Drosophila melanogaster: one gene and its partners. Changing the gene in region 1 together with any one later gene gives a genetic interaction. Each region holds a gene or a part of one and is shown on either strand. Other genes may lie near its edges.

What was found. Genes that interact genetically often act in the same process or in processes that back each other up.
Region 2: of pnut (region 1) and sina, changing one enhances a phenotype caused by changing the other (phenotypic enhancement), as found in Drosophila melanogaster (2 studies listed by BioGRID).
Region 3: of pnut (region 1) and yki, changing one enhances a phenotype caused by changing the other (phenotypic enhancement), as found in Drosophila melanogaster (one study listed by BioGRID).

What each region holds. Positions count from the first base shown.
Region 1 is NT_033778.4:8,235,327-8,240,808, reverse strand, and holds pnut (peanut), read right to left. Parts: upstream 3,539-5,482; 5' UTR 2,753-3,538; coding exon 1,133-2,752; 3' UTR 512-1,132; downstream 1-511. UniProt on the Drosophila melanogaster protein: Involved in cytokinesis and possibly cellularization. Also acts as an enhancer of the sina gene, thus having a role in photoreceptor development. May be involved in p53-dependent apoptosis.
Region 2 is NT_037436.4:16,852,202-16,859,227, reverse strand, and holds sina (seven in absentia), read right to left. Parts: upstream 5,478-7,026; 5' UTR 4,703-5,477; intron 3,310-4,702; exon of another isoform or gene 3,244-3,309; intron 2,932-3,243; 5' UTR 2,811-2,931; coding exon 1,866-2,810; 3' UTR 516-1,865; downstream 1-515. Other genes in the region: Rh4 (rhodopsin 4), read left to right, coding at 5,989-6,536; Zcchc7 (zinc finger CCHC-type containing 7), read right to left, coding at 7,012-7,026. UniProt on the Drosophila melanogaster protein: E3 ubiquitin-protein ligase that is required for specification of R7 photoreceptor cell fate in the eye by mediating the ubiquitination and subsequent proteasomal degradation of Tramtrack (ttk).
Region 3 is NT_033778.4:24,065,460-24,070,199, reverse strand, and holds yki (yorkie), read left to right. Parts: upstream 1-1,714; 5' UTR 1,715-1,884; coding exon 1,885-2,735; intron 2,736-2,945; coding exon 2,946-3,037; intron 3,038-3,483; coding exon 3,484-3,639; intron 3,640-3,886; coding exon 3,887-3,939; intron 3,940-4,022; coding exon 4,023-4,127; 3' UTR 4,128-4,225; downstream 4,226-4,740. Other genes in the region: Gpat4 (Glycerol-3-phosphate acyltransferase 4), read right to left, coding at 1-200, 258-461, 866-1,000. UniProt on the Drosophila melanogaster protein: Transcriptional coactivator which is the critical downstream regulatory target in the Hippo/SWH (Sav/Wts/Hpo) signaling pathway that plays a pivotal role in organ size control and tumor suppression by restricting proliferation and promoting apoptosis.

The DNA of each region.
Region 1 (5,482 bases):
GTGGCCGCATAAGGCGAAAGATTGTATATGTACATGTACTGACTTATAGGGAGTGTCAGGCTTTTCGTAATTGCTTGAGTCGCACATATGGGCAAGAACTGCATAAAGGGTATTTCTTAGGAAACGAAAAGCATGATACTTTTAGGTGGCACCAACGGTTCGCGTTAGTTTTCACTGGTCCAATAAGCATCACACATACATACATACATACATAGCAGTGTGAGAGGTAAACACTTTTAATTGTTTGCGGCGAGTGATTTACCTATCCGCTTGACTCGAGCCACGTTCCCAGTCAATGCTCCTGCGGAATGACTCATCCATTAGCTCATGGTTAACTAAGATATTGAGAATGTAATCGTCATATCCAAATCGCCATATCCATCGTCATGCCTATCATACCCAGACGTGTGCCAAGCGGACCCGTTCCGCTGCAGTTGAGTAAACAACGAATTTAATATGGAATGCTTTTCAGCTTTTATGTAGTTAAACTAAGGAGAAGACTTTATTTTATAAAATGCAAGAGTATATTTTGTTTCTTGATGTTTTCTGCTGCGCTTGCGGCTTTTGCCTTGCTGGTGTGTGTTCGGGTGTTCAATGACTTTATGCATAATAGGTAAAATACAATTACAATATCAATAGCATACGTTATACATGGATTCGTTATTCGTTATAATTAATTTTAGGATCAATTTCGCCTCGCACTCGTACATTCTGCTTAGTTTTTATTATGATTAGGCTTTAAGATACTTAAGTATTTTGCAAATACCGTTTGTTACTGTCTCGATTTAATTCGTTTGCGTGTTCAATTCATTAGGCTAGCAAATGTGTTTCGTCAAGTAATGCGTGGATATATATTGGTAAAATACTGCAACTGCTATGTGTTATATGTACTTGTATAGTATGTAGAAAACAAATGCAACGCCGTCGCTGGACGATTGCTGTGCGAATAGAAGCCTTGTGGGGCGGCTGGGCCCAACAATAGATATATTTATGCACTTTTCGAATTACTTTATGTGGTAGGAATAAGAGTAGGATACGCTAGGGTTTTCATTTGCTTTGTTCTCGAGATTAGCGCTTAAGTATACGAGGAGCGGAAGGGGGTTTGGGGAATGGGGGTTTTGAGCGTGTTGACTTAGAACAGACCCTTCTTTTTCTTCTCCTTCTTGCCATCCACATTGTCCGTGCTGCTGTTGGCCCCCAGGCTGCGTCGCTTGAGCTCCTCGAGCGTCACGTGGTTGACATCCTCCCACTCCTTCTTCTCGCGCTCGAACTCGCGTCTCTTCTCCTCCAGCTCCCGGATCTGCAGCTCCAGCGCCTTCTTGCGCTCCTCGTGGCGCCGCGCCAGCTCCAGCTCCGAGTCCCTGAGCTTCTGCATCTTCTCCTTGACCTTCATGTCAAACACCTGCTCCATCTCGGCCTCCATCTTCTTCATCTTCTGCTCGTGCTCCCGCTTTTCCTCCTCCATCTGGGTGAGTGGGTTCTTGTTGGACAGCCTGGCCTTGCCGTCCACCAATCCCAGCTCGGATAGCTTCCGGCAGCGGTAGTTCTCGTAGTGGACGTTGTTCGTCACGTCCTTGAGGTCCTGAAGGTGCGTGCGTATGACCATGTTGCGCAGCGCTATAAAGTCGCAATGCGTCAGGTTCTCCACCTCCACCAGGCCCCAGGGATAACGCCTACCCCGGACCTTCTTTCCGTCCTGCTCGATGATGGTGTTGGCACCCACCACCGCGAATGGCACTCGGCTGCGCAAATTCTGCGTGGTTTTGGCCTCCTCGGCCGCATCCTCCAGCGTGGCGGGGAAGTCGTAGATCTTGATCTTGTGCTGGGCGATCTCGTTAAGGATCTGCTTCTTAAATAGATGCACCTCGTCGGGCGTCATGGTGTCCGCCTTGGCGATCACCGGCACCAGATTTACCTTGTCCGACAGGCTCTGCATGCAGGCAATGTCCAGCGGCAGGAGTCCGTGTCCCGATGGCGCTATGAAGTAGAGGCAGCAGTGCACCCGGCTGTCCGAAATGGTTTTTCGGTACACCCGCGACTCGGCTGTCAGGTACTCCTCGTACTTGCTATCCACGTACTCCAGTATGGGCACCCAGCAGTTGCTGTTGTCAACGGCATCACCGAATCCGGGTGTGTCCACCACCGTGAGTGTCAGATTGACGCCGTTCTCCTTGAGCATTACTTTGGTGGCCTCCACGGCCACGGTCTTCTTTTTGCGCAGCGAGGGGCCCGGATACTGTTCCGCGTTGTAGATGTCCGACAGGAACATGGAGTTGATCAGCGTCGACTTGCCCAGCCCACTGGCGCCCACCACCATCAGAGTGAACTCGAATCCCCGCTTGACGGCCTTGCGATAGACCTGATTGGGCAGGTTGGCGAAGCCCACATAGCCGGCGATCTCCATGGGCTTCTGGCGCACCGGGAGCGGTGGCTTCTGTGGCTTCTGCGCCTGCTGGTGCTCCTTCTCCTGCAGATCGTGGGTCAGTTTGTTCGAGTCGCCGTTGGAGGCGCCTCCGCCGCTGGTGTCCAGCTTGCCACTGGCGGCCACTGGCACACTGGGCGGCTGATTGGGCGGTCGTCCACCGACGCCCACCAAGGACTCGCTGCCGCTGCTGCCGTTCGTGGCAGAGGACGCCGATGCCGACGCAGCCTGCTGCTTGTCGCGCAGAGCCAGTTGGGCCAGAGTGCTGGGCAGAGCGGAGATGGCGCCGCCGCTGCCGCCATTAACCGCGTTCGAGCGAGGACTATTCATTGGAATAGCGCCAAATTCGCCTTTGAGCCTTCGATATTCGTTCGCAGGTGGGCTTCACTGTATTTATTCACTTTGCTTGCACAGAACCGTTGCTTTTTCACCGCTTTTGTCACGCCTACGCCAGCTCTTTTACGCTCTTACTTTTCTTGCATTTTCTGTGTCAGTAGGACCGTGCGCTGCAACGCGATAAATACTTCTGCTCCGCTCTCGCAGGCAACAACAACGCCCCAGCTCAGGCGCAGTGTGACCCTGGAAAATACCGGACGAGAGCCGCGAATATACCAAACGACGCTTGGAGTGAGAGCGCATGAGTAATGCGACACATACACACAGAGATACACGCACCCATACTGCCGCAGCAATGCACATGCAAACGGGCAAAGAGAACTATTTTCTGGTGGCCTTATCACTTGAAATGGAATGTTATGTTTAAAAATAGGCAATGAAACGCATTCATGTGTCCCAGCACTTGGGATTCCAGATTTCTGGCCTGAATGACTGCACTGGAGTGGCCACGGATCGCATTACAATCGCCCGCTGATGCACAGGAAGAAATTATCCGTCTAGATGACTTTGACTTTTGCCTTAAGCAGGGGTGGATTACTGAGGGGTTTTTTGACTACATATCGAACTATATTTATTTTAAAACATTTTCAGTTTATGTTTGTCCATTTTTATAGGGAATTAATTTCTATGGTACACCATAACGGGTTTTTAAATAAAATTGTTCACTACGCCCATGACTTTTGTGGTTACGGGTTCCCTTTAATTTTTGTTGCAATGTTGCGCATGCCCGTGAGAGCAGCAGAAGGAGCAGAGAAAGAAGAAGAGGAAGCTGAGCTTATCTCTCTCGCTGAGAACTAAAGATGCTTCTGTCGCGTGGGTGTTGTTATTGTGACGCTGAGAACTCGACTTTCGCTTCTCTCTCACACTTGCTATAATTCCATTCGACTCTGTTTGGAAAGAGGTTAGTGAGCTAACTAACGCCCCTTGTGGGCGTGTGAGAAGTGCCATAAAAAGGAGCTGGATAATAACTGGCCTCTGTCGTTTGACCCGCTTCATGCTCGAGTGTCCTCGTCGAAAGTTCCCACACACGCCTCGTCCTGGCACCCTCTCTACCCCACCCTCTACGCGTCATCGCATGCCGATGCATACACGCACACGGACAAAGCCCGTTGATTGTGCGCTCTGCGTTTCGGTTTGTTTGTAATTTAAATTCTCATGCACTTCTGGCGATCGTCACTGGTAGAGGGGGAGGGGGAGAGGGAGGTACTAACCACCACCATTAAGAGGGTCCTGCGTCCTACTCCGCCTGCTTGGTGGTGGTGGTTTCCTTCCTTCCTACCATCCAGCCTTCCTTGCTTCCGAACTTCCCCCTTTTGCACGTGGATTTCCACCAAACGCCGTCTGCGCGACAACAAGGTGATCGTGAGAAAGTTTTTTTCTCACATTATTCCAAAGCGACTCCTGTTTTAATTTTAGCCTCTATCGGAATTAATATGCATTTATGAATTGATATGACTCGCGGTGGCTCGATTTTTACCCTAGGGGATGACTGTACTTATTGGAGGATTTACAGTTGTTGTCGTCAAGGGAAAAGGTAAATCGAGGGAAGTTCTGTGGAATTTTGTGGCTAGAGATCCCCTTGTTTCTTGTTATTCTTACTAATTTGATTGTCGATTGCATTTTATGATCTCAATACATATTTTTTGTTCTAAAAAGTTATTTAATGAATTCTTTTTCATTCTTTATCAAACTTTATTTTAAGCTTTATTAATACATTTAACATTTATGACCATCCGAAACCATTTGATTAACCCAAAATATAAGGAGAAAGTCGATTTTATTCATTAAGTCTATTTATATGTATATTTACTTTAGCTTCCTTAAACTAATTTTATATTGCTTTTTTGGGTGCATCTTTAACGATTAAAAACATACGCGTATGTACTTTCGTACTTTTTTATAGCACTACTTTTTTATAGCACTAAAAAGTTGATTTTCTATTATCGTATTCATCAATGCTAAATACATTTCATTTTTGGCTGGGGGCTTCGAAACTAGATGTTTTTTACGACAGATGTTAGGTCTTGAAATGTGCCACCGCAACTGCAACCGCAAATCTTTACAGCGAACAAATCCCACCTAATCTCCCCGCAACCCTTCCTCGTGTTCATAGTTTTGAGATCTTGAGCAGCTGTTTCGCATCAGGCACACTCCATACGAAATCCATTCGGAGACGCATCTTCTTCAATATTATGTAAGATGCTTGCCAGCAATTAGGGCCCGCTAGAAGCCAGAGGAAAACCCGTGCGCCCCTGAAAAGTCACTATTTCTTAGCGCCGACCATTGTCCGGGCCAAGTCCATTGTTCTCGTGGCTCGAAGAAGTGGCGGGGGATGCAGCCGGGAGAATGGAGTCGGCAGCTGTGCCAATTCTTGGCACGAGAGCAAGGACAGTTTAGTGCAAATGTTGGCTTAGGAGCAGCTGATCCACCAAGTGACCGTTACATCAGCTGGCATGGGTCACCAATCAATGGAATCAATGATATGGATTCGACCCAGCCCATCATGTGTGCTAGTTATTTAGGGTACGCCCAATAAATGTGAAAGTGTTCCTGAAGTCCAATAGCATATGGAATAGATATCAGCTTAAAACGTTCCATTAGATTTAAAAAAAACTTCTGACAATAACATGAAAATTGTAATTGAAGCTCTAAAAAGAAATATCA
Region 2 (7,026 bases), on another chromosome or scaffold:
CTATTAATCCTAAGACCTAACAACCAAACGATTCTGAAGAATGAGAGTGCCGATGGTTTTACTTTTTTTTTACTTTTTCTGAACACTGAAATTTTGCTTAAAAGAATTCGAAAATACAATCTGTACCACAATACAACGAAGCTAAAAGTATAATGAGCTACTTTTACTTCGGAGCCTACTTGCTTTAAATCATTTTAAAATCAGCTTAAAAATTTATTTTTGAAATTGGCCTAAGTATCCTAGTAAGATACCAATCCAGCTAAATCTTTAAGATGCTTCGGCGGTGCACCACTAAAAACTTGTGCCATCTATTATTGCAACGTTTTAAAACGCATTAGAAGTAACCCAAGTATCTCAAAGATAATCCAAATTAAACAGATAACTGATTTAAATCGACAAGTTTATAAAGTGGCGTAGCTCTTCTTTGTAATTCAGCTTCCCCCAGATTAATTTCAATAATTAACGAGCATTGTTTACTTTTACTAATCATGTTTATTTCAGTTTTGTAGTTTTGTGTCTGTGTGAGTGATCTCATATGGTAGTGGCGCGGTAAATCGGCGCATTAAAAGCTAATTACGGTGCAGATGCTTAAAATCATTAATTTTTCTTCCGTTTTCGATTGGGAAACGTTGGCCGAATGGAAATCAAAACCAAAACATGAGCCAAACCGGGGAGATCGTCTTAACTAGATAGAAATTTAAACATTAACATTGCTTTATATGTTTGGGGGGACTTGGGGGGAAATGGGAAGGGGCAACTGTCTTTTTAGCATTGCGAAAAAAAATGTTTTCTTTTTTTTTTAGTGTGTTTTTGTTATTTTGTGATGGTTTGGCATGAACAAAATTGCGGGTCGCAGTTTCGTTTAGGCTGCAACTTTCAAACAACTCTCGAGTTATTACAGATTATCGCTATCAAATATTACTTTTCTTTGTGGGTTATTAGGTTTGTTAATTTCGTTAAACTGTTCGTTTTACTTATTACCATTTACAAGTATTGTATAAAATAATTTACATTAACTAAACTAGACTTTGCAGTACATGTTCGAGTGGATGAGTGACCTCCTCGCCTTTCTTGCTGTTCTCCTCGTTTTGGTGAGTGGGTCTGTGTGTTCCTAGCGTTCACTGTAGTAGGTGGTGGGCACGTGGGCACGCGCAGGCAGCTCTGCTCCAGGTGTGTGGACCTTACGAACTAAATTAAACTAAAGCAGAACCCCATGAACTAACAAAACGGGTAACACTGAAACTTTGAAATATATAGTATTGTGTGTGCGGTAACTGAAAAATCATGTCCTAGAACTAGAGTACCAATCGAACCGATTAAACATACAAACATACAGGTCAGCCACGATTTTCGCATTCGACAGGAAAGTGTGTTATACAAATCTGCGAAATCTCACCAAAAATATTTGGCATTTTTCTGCAAACGAGTGAGATTTACACACAGTCATGTGCAAACTAAAAATGAAAATACGAATTTTAAACGCGGTTTTACAGGTTTAACGAACGTGTGCAATAAACACTGAACATCACTTAGCAATTGCTTTAATACGCTTTCCATTTCGCTTTGGAAAATTGTGAGTGTCTTAGCTTAAAAATCAAAGAAAACTGCGATATCGTGCCGAATGTGATAATCGAAGCAGCCTGATATTTCCATAGATATATATACATATGCATGTAAGTGGCTCTTAGAATAGAGAATCATTTTTATAAAACAACTCTGCAAAACTCTTTCTTCTTAATCTCCAGACTCACAATCTGTCCACGAGTTAGACGCCTGATGCGAACAGAGGGCTATAAACTATATATGTATTTGTATCGGAATAGTAAACACAAGAAATGAAAGAACCCGACGAATTGACAGTGCGTTTAGACCAGAGATATGGTCACGTTAATGCCCAGGTTGCCATTGTCGGCGAACAATTGCGCAATCGACGTGTCGAACACCAGGCAGTCCGAGTTGTGAATTGCGGAAGCGACGCCCTCGTGGATCGAACGCGGCATTGCCTCCCAGGTGAGCCGGCGTCGGTTTCCGTTCAACTCCAGGCGATAGACAAAGTTCTCCGCTTCCTTGCGCGACCCGATCAGCTGAACGATGGCAAAGAACTGCTGGTGTCCGTCGTACTTCTCCTGCTTCTCCAGCACGAGCATAAAATGGTGGCCGAAGCAGGACTGCATCATTACCCAATCGACGGCGCCGGGCAGGTTGATGTCGGTGGCCAGGAACACGATGTCCTCGCCCTGCAGCGTTGTGATGCTCTTGTGCGACATCATCAGATGCTGCATGACTAGGTCAAGCGGGCCCTGCCACTTACAGCTGGCGCCCGGGCACGGACACAGGTAGGGCCGGCACTCGCACGTCTCCTCGTGTTCTGTCTTTTCCGTGTAAACCAGCGAGGCGGTGCATCCGTAGCCGGAGTGCTTGCACGGGAACTTGACGTTCGAGGCAACCTTCTCCATCGCCAGGTTGCGGATATTCGCCAGCGGACCGCGGCAGGTGGGGCAGCAGGTGAGCTTGGAGCGACAGGACACGCACACCAGGTGCCCGCTGGAGCACTGCAGGATCGGCGGTAGCACATAGTCAAAGCACACGGGGCATTCAAACAGCGAGGTCAAGTCGGCGGACATGCCCGCATCACCGCCACCGGCGGACGACAGCGAGGAGCTGGACGACGAGGATGTGTTGGCCGAGGACGTGTTGCCGGCACTGGAGGATCCGGTCGAGGTGCTCGTGTTGGTGGCCACTCCCGTGGCACCGGCTCCTGCTGCTGCTGCTGTCGGTTCGCGGCGCTTCGGGTTGATTTTATTGGACATTGGAAGGGTTCTCGCAACGGCACGAATGTGTCTACAATTCTTCTGGGTCCCTGCAATTCTCGCCAGGTTCAGGTTCTTCGCCCTCCCGGTGGCTTCGGCAATGGCTTTCTTGTGCTTCTGTCTAAAATGAGATACAATCACAGGTCAGTGAGTAATGCGGTCAATTTAGTCATAGCATATGTATAATTTTTTTTTCTTTTTTTTGTAATTTTGTTCGTTCAGTGATAAGAAACTCCAAAAAACAATAACCTACAAAACCATACAGATATCTTAACAAAAATAGTTTGTTTCGATTAGGCTTAGTTAATCCAAAAATAACATATATCAACCAACAAAAAAAATCACAGTATAACACACTGCATAAATGCTGGTTTAAATTTGAACATATGTTATGAGCTTTCTATCGATTTTGCGGCTTAAGTTCGGAGCATACTATTGATTTGAATGTTCATTCCAAACTATTGTGCCCACTGGGACATGAGTAATAGGCAAAAATATTTTTCCATGAAGTAATAGAAATGAAATGAATGCAAACTGTGTAAGCAAAATCTACTCGATTGCTATAAAAAATGTTGCCCAGCAAAACTACTATCCATTTGTAATAATTTAATTTGAGCCTTATTAATTTAAAACTTATTTCGCGTAATCACTACTACTAGGTAGTTCGTTTTTCGTGCCGCCCAATAGAAAAGCCAAAGCGATTTATCATTCCTGGCCTTAACCTTGCCGTGGATTCCCAATTGTTGTAATTACCGAAAAAAGAAAACACACGCATTTGCGTGTATGGGAATTGCATTTAAGCAATTACTTAAAGCGGAACGTATCGAACCGGAGTTGGTCTGCGAAAAGCAAAGACACAGCCCGAGGTCGCCGTCACGTCTCCGATCGAAATGAAGGCCCGATTCCGATTCCAACTCCGAGCCCAAGCCCAAAAGCCTCTTGGCGGCACGTGTGGAACGGCGCAAATATGTTGGCTCTTATCAGGCGGAGCTGACGGAGCCGACGCTGATGGACGGCCATTAGGGACGTCGACCCATGGCGGGATTGTGCGATGGTGGGTGTCGTGCTGGTTGTAATGGGTGTGGTTCGGTTTCACGGGTTTGTCCACTTTGGACAGAATGGGCACACATTAGTGTGAACAATATGCTGTGGGTGCTTTGGTGCGTTTATAAGATAAATATCAATATAATAATATAAAGTTTTCGTAATTGTTTAGCTTTGATGTACAAACAAAACTTGTTCTCTTTCCTAACGGGAATATATTTGCTATATGATTGCTATCAAAATTTTGTGTGAAAGGAGTTCAGTAATATTGTTTATATTCGAAAACAAACTCAAACCTAAAAAATAAATAATATGTTTCCTTATTAACCCAAAACAAAAACACATGAAACGCATGAACATACAAATGTTTAATACTTTACCCTATATATTGGAAAAATTATTTGAACATTTGCCATTATGAAATTCGTACCATCGCCCGCATAAACGTAATATCGTAATGAAGAGTGCGTAACGTAACAAATGCAACGAGGATGTGTAGGGGGTGGGTGGCGGTAGGGGATGGCAGCCGCGGGGAGGGAAACTCACACACTTACAACACAGACACAGATCGCACACACATAATTAACAGTTCGTTTACGTTGCGTACCGTTGGAAACGTTCATACGGGGTAAAAATGGTAATTGCCACAAAAGTCATAGCCATGAATATAATTAACTTAGCTTCTGCTTTCATGAGTTGCAAAATGGTAAAATAGAAAACGTAAGTTGCGGAGCAAAGCGAAATGCGACTATCTTTCTTTAATTTATGCCGCCATTAAGTGCGACTAGGCTGCTGTTTAAACAGCAACAACAACTGCGAAATACATAATCGTTGATATGTAAACTTACATGGCAGGCTGCCTCCAAGAAATTGTGCCGAGGTATTGGTGCCCCGCTGCGTTGGTGTGTGTGTGTATGTGTATATTTTATTTTCTTGTTATTTTTTTGTTTCCTTTTTTATCAGTCAGTCAGCCTTTACGGCCATGCACACACACACACGCATACAGCCAGCATGTGTGTGTATATATCCTAGGTGCAAGTTCCGTTTTTTACGTTGCAATTTGTTATTTTTTTAACCGCATATATATATATAACCAATGCAGGTGGTTTTGCTACTGCACACGCACACTGGGAAAATGGAAAAACTGTTTTGATTGCTTTTCGCCTTTTCGTTCACCTTGCACCGAACCGAAACTCGAAATTCAGGCGTGAGCTAATTTCATTTGGCTTTTTATCTAATTTTCTTTAACGCGACCCGCACACATACACATTTATTCATATTTAGCTTTACTAGTTATTTTCGCCTTTTCTGCCTCTGTGTTGCTGCTGCTGCTGATGTTGTGTTGTTGTTGTTGCTGCACAAAAATAAACCATTTGCATTTACACACAGGCAGCGAAATGGGTTTTTTTCGTGTGTCTCACTTTTTCTATATTGCGTTCTTTGATCGTCGCAGTCGGCGTTTATTGCACTTGCCCTTGCGCGGTGTGGAATTCAGTCTTTTTCGGCATTCTCCATGTACTTTGGGCGTGATGTCTGCCTTTAGCTGGTTAATTAATTAATTTACTTTACTATACTGAGTTTCTTCTAATGTCCGCGTCGGTTGCAGAGATGGAACCCCAATTGTCGTCTATTCGATTCCAGATAGTCGATTACACGCAATCGGCAACATCGCAGTGCCTCCTGGTAGCTATCAATTGCTGTCATCGATTACTTAACAGCCTTGCCACGTTTGTCAAATTAATTTAATAACAGGAAAACATCAGTTTTGAAATAATACAAATCGAATCAGGCGCATAATTTTTAAAGGATCAAAGTTAATAATGTAGTCTGTTACTCTTATTGACAACTAAAGCCTAATTTTTAAAATAATTCATTAATAAATACTTTTTTATGATTTATAGTATTTCCAATCAAATAATATAGGCAATACAAAAAATTAAATAAAAATATTGATTGGTGATACCTTGACCTTGTGTCACATCATTGGCGGGAATGTTTAAGAACTTAGTTTGGATCGGGAAATTCGAAGAAACAAATTTACGAAAGAGTAAAATTGCGTTTTACGAATATGAAGTAAATAAATATCCTAATACCAAAAATCCCATTAATCTTCTTCACTTTTATGCATTTCCAGAGGGCTACCTCACGTCCTGCTCCTTCGACTATCTTTCGGACAACTTTGACACCCGGTTGTTTGTGGGCACCATCTTCTTTTTCAGCTTCGTGTGTCCCACGCTGATGATCCTTTACTACTACTCGCAGATCGTGGGCCATGTCTTCAGCCACGAAAAGGCCCTACGGGAGCAGGCCAAGAAAATGAACGTGGAGTCGCTGCGCTCCAATGTGGACAAGAGCAAGGAGACGGCGGAGATACGGATTGCGAAGGCGGCTATCACCATCTGCTTCCTGTTCTTCGTGTCGTGGACGCCCTACGGCGTAATGTCGCTGATCGGGGCATTCGGGGATAAGAGTCTGCTTACACCAGGAGCCACGATGATCCCGGCCTGCACCTGCAAACTGGTGGCGTGCATAGACCCATTCGTCTATGCCATAAGTCACCCCAGATACCGCTTGGAGCTGCAGAAGCGCTGTCCCTGGCTGGGAGTCAACGAAAAGTCTGGGGAGATCTCTTCGGCGCAGTCCACGACCACCCAGGAGCAGCAACAGACTACCGCTGCATAGAACCAAGGACAACTCTACTCTAAGACAACTGACCATGTAACATGAAAGCCAAGGAAAAAGTATAAAATGCCGACAACGAAACTGTATAACATTAATTTTATAATTTGTAGTGTGACATTCTTGAGTTTGAAATAAATAAATAGTAACTTATTGCAAACGAAGTAGAAAATGAGTCCCGTTTTTTATTTGAAATTCGGTTCTTTGATGTCATTATTTTGTTACTATTTCTACACTTACACTTAAAAATTAAATAACAAATTCAACTCAAATCCTAAACACATTTACACAGTTATTTGGAGCCTCTTCATTCCTAATAAAATCATAAAATCGAGTTTTTTTTTCAAAATAGTCAGTTATGTATTTATTCGGTTTTTGGGTAATATCTTTAAGATACCCATTGTGAAATCTGTTGGCATTTGTTAAACAAAATGAAGGTGACCCACCAGGAAATAAATTCCATGACCCTGGCTAATCCTCAGTTGCACATCAG
Region 3 (4,740 bases), about 16 Mb from region 1:
TAGCGGATGAAGAAGCCGAACACCCAGATGGAGGTGATTTTCCAGGAAATGAACTCGTAGTGCCTATTGGTGCGTGTCAGCATGTTCCAGCTCTTGAGCTCCTCCGCCTCGAAGCGCGACGTAACATCGTCCTCGATGATGGCCTCCACGCCAGACTTTACGTAGTCCAGGCATTTCTCAAAATCGAAATTGATTTCATCCTGCAAATGGGAAATGTTGTTTAAATCAGGTGCCCATTGCAATGCCGGACTCCTTACCTTTGTGGAGGAAACTGGCTTCTCTGGAGCGGGCTCCTGTGGCTGGGGCAGGAGTACCGCGTCCCTGGTAATCAATGTGGCTCCATTGGTGCCTTCTTTGGAATCGGCGTCGTCCACTAGTTGCACTCCCTGTTTGTCGTCAGTCTTGGGATTTTGAATGTGTTGGTTTTCTTTGGATGCTGTCTCTATACTAACTCGACCATACTGAAAGTAGAGGTGATTAGTTGTTAACGAGTCGAATCGGGGATTATCTGCAGATAAGATTATCGCAAGCATATCGTCGGACGAGGTAATGACTGGCACTTTACAAGTGTCTGGGAAGCGGCAACTTGGGTGCACTGGCGCACTCCTGCCCCGCAGATTCCTTGAGGATAGCCGAAGAATCTACTTAAAGCTTCCGGGCAAGCAATAGTTTCTCGAACTCGCCTGCATTGCAGTAATTGCGTAGGGCAGACGTAGTATGGCGTACTCCAAAAGCTGACTATATTTATGGACTTTGGAATAGCTTAACTATTGGTAAGACAGCACCATTTGCAAAGCCACCGCAGCAGTGGAGCACCTCAAATCGGTGCTTACTCATCTGAGGAACGAAAGCAAGCAATATTTACCTCGAATATCCTTAGGAGGAGGTTCACGTACGCTTTTCGGACGCCGATTGATTTGTTTATGGCGGAAATAAATATGAGAAATGAGAGGAAGCCCCCGATGGGGATCCAGAATATGTCCAACAGCACGGCGATCATTTTACATTTGTGTCATGCGACATTAGTTATTGTTAAGCGAAAAATGCCTCCGAATTGTGTCGTGCCAATATATACAATGTTAAAATACTTTTTGCTGTAGACCGAACTAGCGATGGACCTTGACTGTGTCAAAAACCTGTCTCGTGCTCACAGACCTGGCCCGCGCTCATCTCTACGGGGAACAAACGGAAAGGGGACGATTCCGGTCGGGCAGGAGACGGAACGGCTTCTTGTTCCACTGCCAATCGTTTTGAAAAGGGTTGAATGAACGTGCACTGAAAACAAAAAGGCACATTTACATTCAGATTATATTGTTATTGGGTATGTGTTTTTGACAGACCTTTACCTGCACTTATTACTTAAATCAACAAGGCACATTTACAATCAGTTTATATTGTTATTGGGTGTGTTTTTGACAGACCTTTGCCTGTACTTATTTTCACTAAACAAAATGTTATAAACCAATAAATAATAATTGTTAGTCTAATAATTTATAGTCTGATATTATGGAACACAAGTGTGTGGGCTATACACACACCATAATTTAATATCTACTTTGTTTTGTGCCTTATTAATTACAAAATATAGAATAAATCTTTAGCTATAGCTAAAGGAAATCGACAAAAGTCGTAATCGGCTTGCGGAATACCCCTGGCATTCCGCAGGTGCAGCCACGAAGCCGATTACATGAGGAACGCTAGTATCGGAATGGACAAGTGGACGGGGATAGCCATCTGGCAACACTGGGATAAATTTATTTTATGTTGGCAGTTCCGTAATTATTATTATTACTATTATTTATTGCAACGAAGTTTAGTTTTTAACACCTTAATGTTATAGTTTCGCGCAGCGCGATGGAGTGATACGTATATGGAAGAACATATATGTGCGCGTGCCTAATCGCTAAGATAATTCTATGTAGTTTTCGTTTGTATACAATAAGTGCCTTTTATATGTTAACGACGATGTCAGCCAGCAGCAATACAAACAGCCTGATCGAGAAGGAGATCGACGACGAGGACATGCTTTCGCCGATCAAGTCCAACAACCTGGTGGTGCGGGTCAACCAGGACACGGACGACAACCTGCAGGCGCTATTCGACAGCGTCCTGAATCCGGGTGACGCCAAGCGCCCGCTGCAGCTGCCCCTGCGCATGCGGAAGCTGCCCAACTCCTTCTTCACGCCCCCGGCGCCCTCGCACTCGCGGGCCAACAGCGCCGACTCCACCTACGACGCGGGCTCCCAGTCGAGCATCAACATCGGGAACAAGGCGTCCATCGTCCAGCAGCCAGATGGCCAGTCGCCCATCGCCGCCATCCCCCAGCTCCAGATTCAGCCGTCTCCCCAGCACAGCCGCCTGGCGATACATCACTCCCGAGCCCGCAGCAGCCCCGCCTCGCTGCAGCAGAACTACAATGTGCGCGCCCGGAGCGACGCAGCAGCAGCCAACAATCCGAATGCCAATCCGAGCAGCCAACAGCAGCCCGCTGGGCCCACTTTCCCAGAGAACAGTGCCCAAGAGTTCCCCAGCGGCGCCCCGGCCAGCTCGGCCATTGATCTGGACGCCATGAACACCTGCATGTCGCAGGACATTCCCATGTCCATGCAGACAGTGCACAAGAAGCAGCGCTCCTACGACGTCATCAGCCCCATTCAGTTGAACCGCCAACTAGGCGCCTTGCCGCCGGGATGGGAGCAAGCCAAGACCAATGATGGCCAGATCTACTACTTGAAGTGAGTTTGGGCAGATTTTAAAAATGATATGCATGAAGCTTTATTTAATACGTGTCTTCTTTATGAACTTATGAAAACTAAAATATTCTTGTGAGTCACAGAAATCTCATTGGCTTCGTTGGATGTCTTTCAAGTTTATCTCTTAATCATTACTAGCTCAACTAATACCCAAAACAGCAATCTCAACAATGGTGTTCTCTCTACTTGCAGTCATACTACAAAATCTACGCAGTGGGAGGATCCCAGAATCCAATATCGCCAGCAGCAGCAAATCTTGATGGCCGAGCGAATAAAGCAGAATGGTAGGTTCTATCTTAGATGTAATGCCTTAGATAAGCAAGTCGTTAACTGCCTGTGGCTGCGTCTCATTGTTAACCCACTTAAATCAGCCATCAGAGGACTAATTAATGCTAGAGACCAGGCAGGGATAAGATAGGCTCTAACTCATTCCAACTAACGCATGAACAGCACAGTACACAACCGATTTCAGGGAGTCCATTCCGTCCATTTTGAGCGCGCCAATGCACTTTTCGGGATTGGGTTGGAGTCTGATCATTTTGGCATTCGGAAGTGGGAGCTCGATTGGATTTGCTTTGAGCATACTCCAATTGATTTTGATATGTGCTGCATGCTGGGCGCCAGTGCCCCTCCGTTCTCATCCGCTTACACACTGCAGCATTACGTTGAAGACATATTTTAATTTGTTTTTATTTACTTTGGTTTGTAATTCATTGTTTTTGTTCGATAGATGTTTTGCAAACTACAAAACAAACTACCACATCGACCATTGCTAACAATTTGGGTCCACTGCCGGATGGTTGGGAGCAGGCAGTTACCGAGTCCGGAGATCTTTACTTTATAAATCACATTGATCGAACGACTTCATGGAATGATCCCAGAATGCGTAAGTCTCGTTCCACCACCCCGACTAGCGTAAGACAACGAGACACACAGATATCGTAGCGATATCGCTAGATAACATTGAGTGCGCAGTGGGCGGGGGGCCGATCACGTAATTCCCATGGCATCTCTGCTTTCACTATATAGTATAGTACTGATCTTGAGATAGAGGCCGAACACTCCACACTCCTTATCGCTCCATGCCTCGCCTTTACTAACTTAACGCCTTCCCTTACCGTGTATCTTTGCAGAATCTGGGCTTAGCGTGCTCGACTGCCCAGATAACTTAGTGTCTTCCCTCCAGGTAAGCATTCGCAGTTGCCGACCGCCGAGTTGGCGAACCGAGTTCCACGCCACTACCTCACTTTGCCCACTTTACGCTTTCAGATTGAGGATAATCTTTGCAGTAACTTGTTCAATGACGCACAGGCCATTGTAAATCCGCCGTCTTCCCACAAACCTGACGATTTGGAATGGTATAAAATTAATTAATTCAATGTATACATCTGTATTAGACCTAAAAGTTTTATATTTTGTATTATTCTAAATTAAATATTTTTCAAATTTTATAGTATTTCTTTACATAAACGAATTTGTGTGTTTATCATTATTACTGGGCGCCTTGTTTCTGGGTTTTAAAGCTTCCGACGATCAGTGAACGCACTGATTGAAAAGAAGATATCTGATTCAGATGACTTTCGAACGCCGAAGAGAGAGTTCAGGTGGATGAAAGGTGTGGTCAGCAGCGATGACTCATGCCGAAACCCGAATACCCCGACTATTGTAAAGTGCAAGCCAAGTAACCAAGTAACCAGAATGCGGCGTGCATTTGGACCAGAATGCACGCGATTCATGAGCTTCATTGAGTTCGATCTGTGACCGACCCAGCAGATTCAGCTTTACGTGGAGCCAAAGACATCCATGCTCATCGGTGTCATTCGCTTGCGAATCTGTTCGCGTTCGCTCTTTATCAATGCTTACCCATGAGTCACTTTTGCAAATATTCTTCTAATTTAGCATGAATTACTTATTTTCGTGATGTCAAGCTAGTCATCGTTTGAATTCTTTCAACAGCTTTCATAGATGATAAGAGTTGGACTTGGGT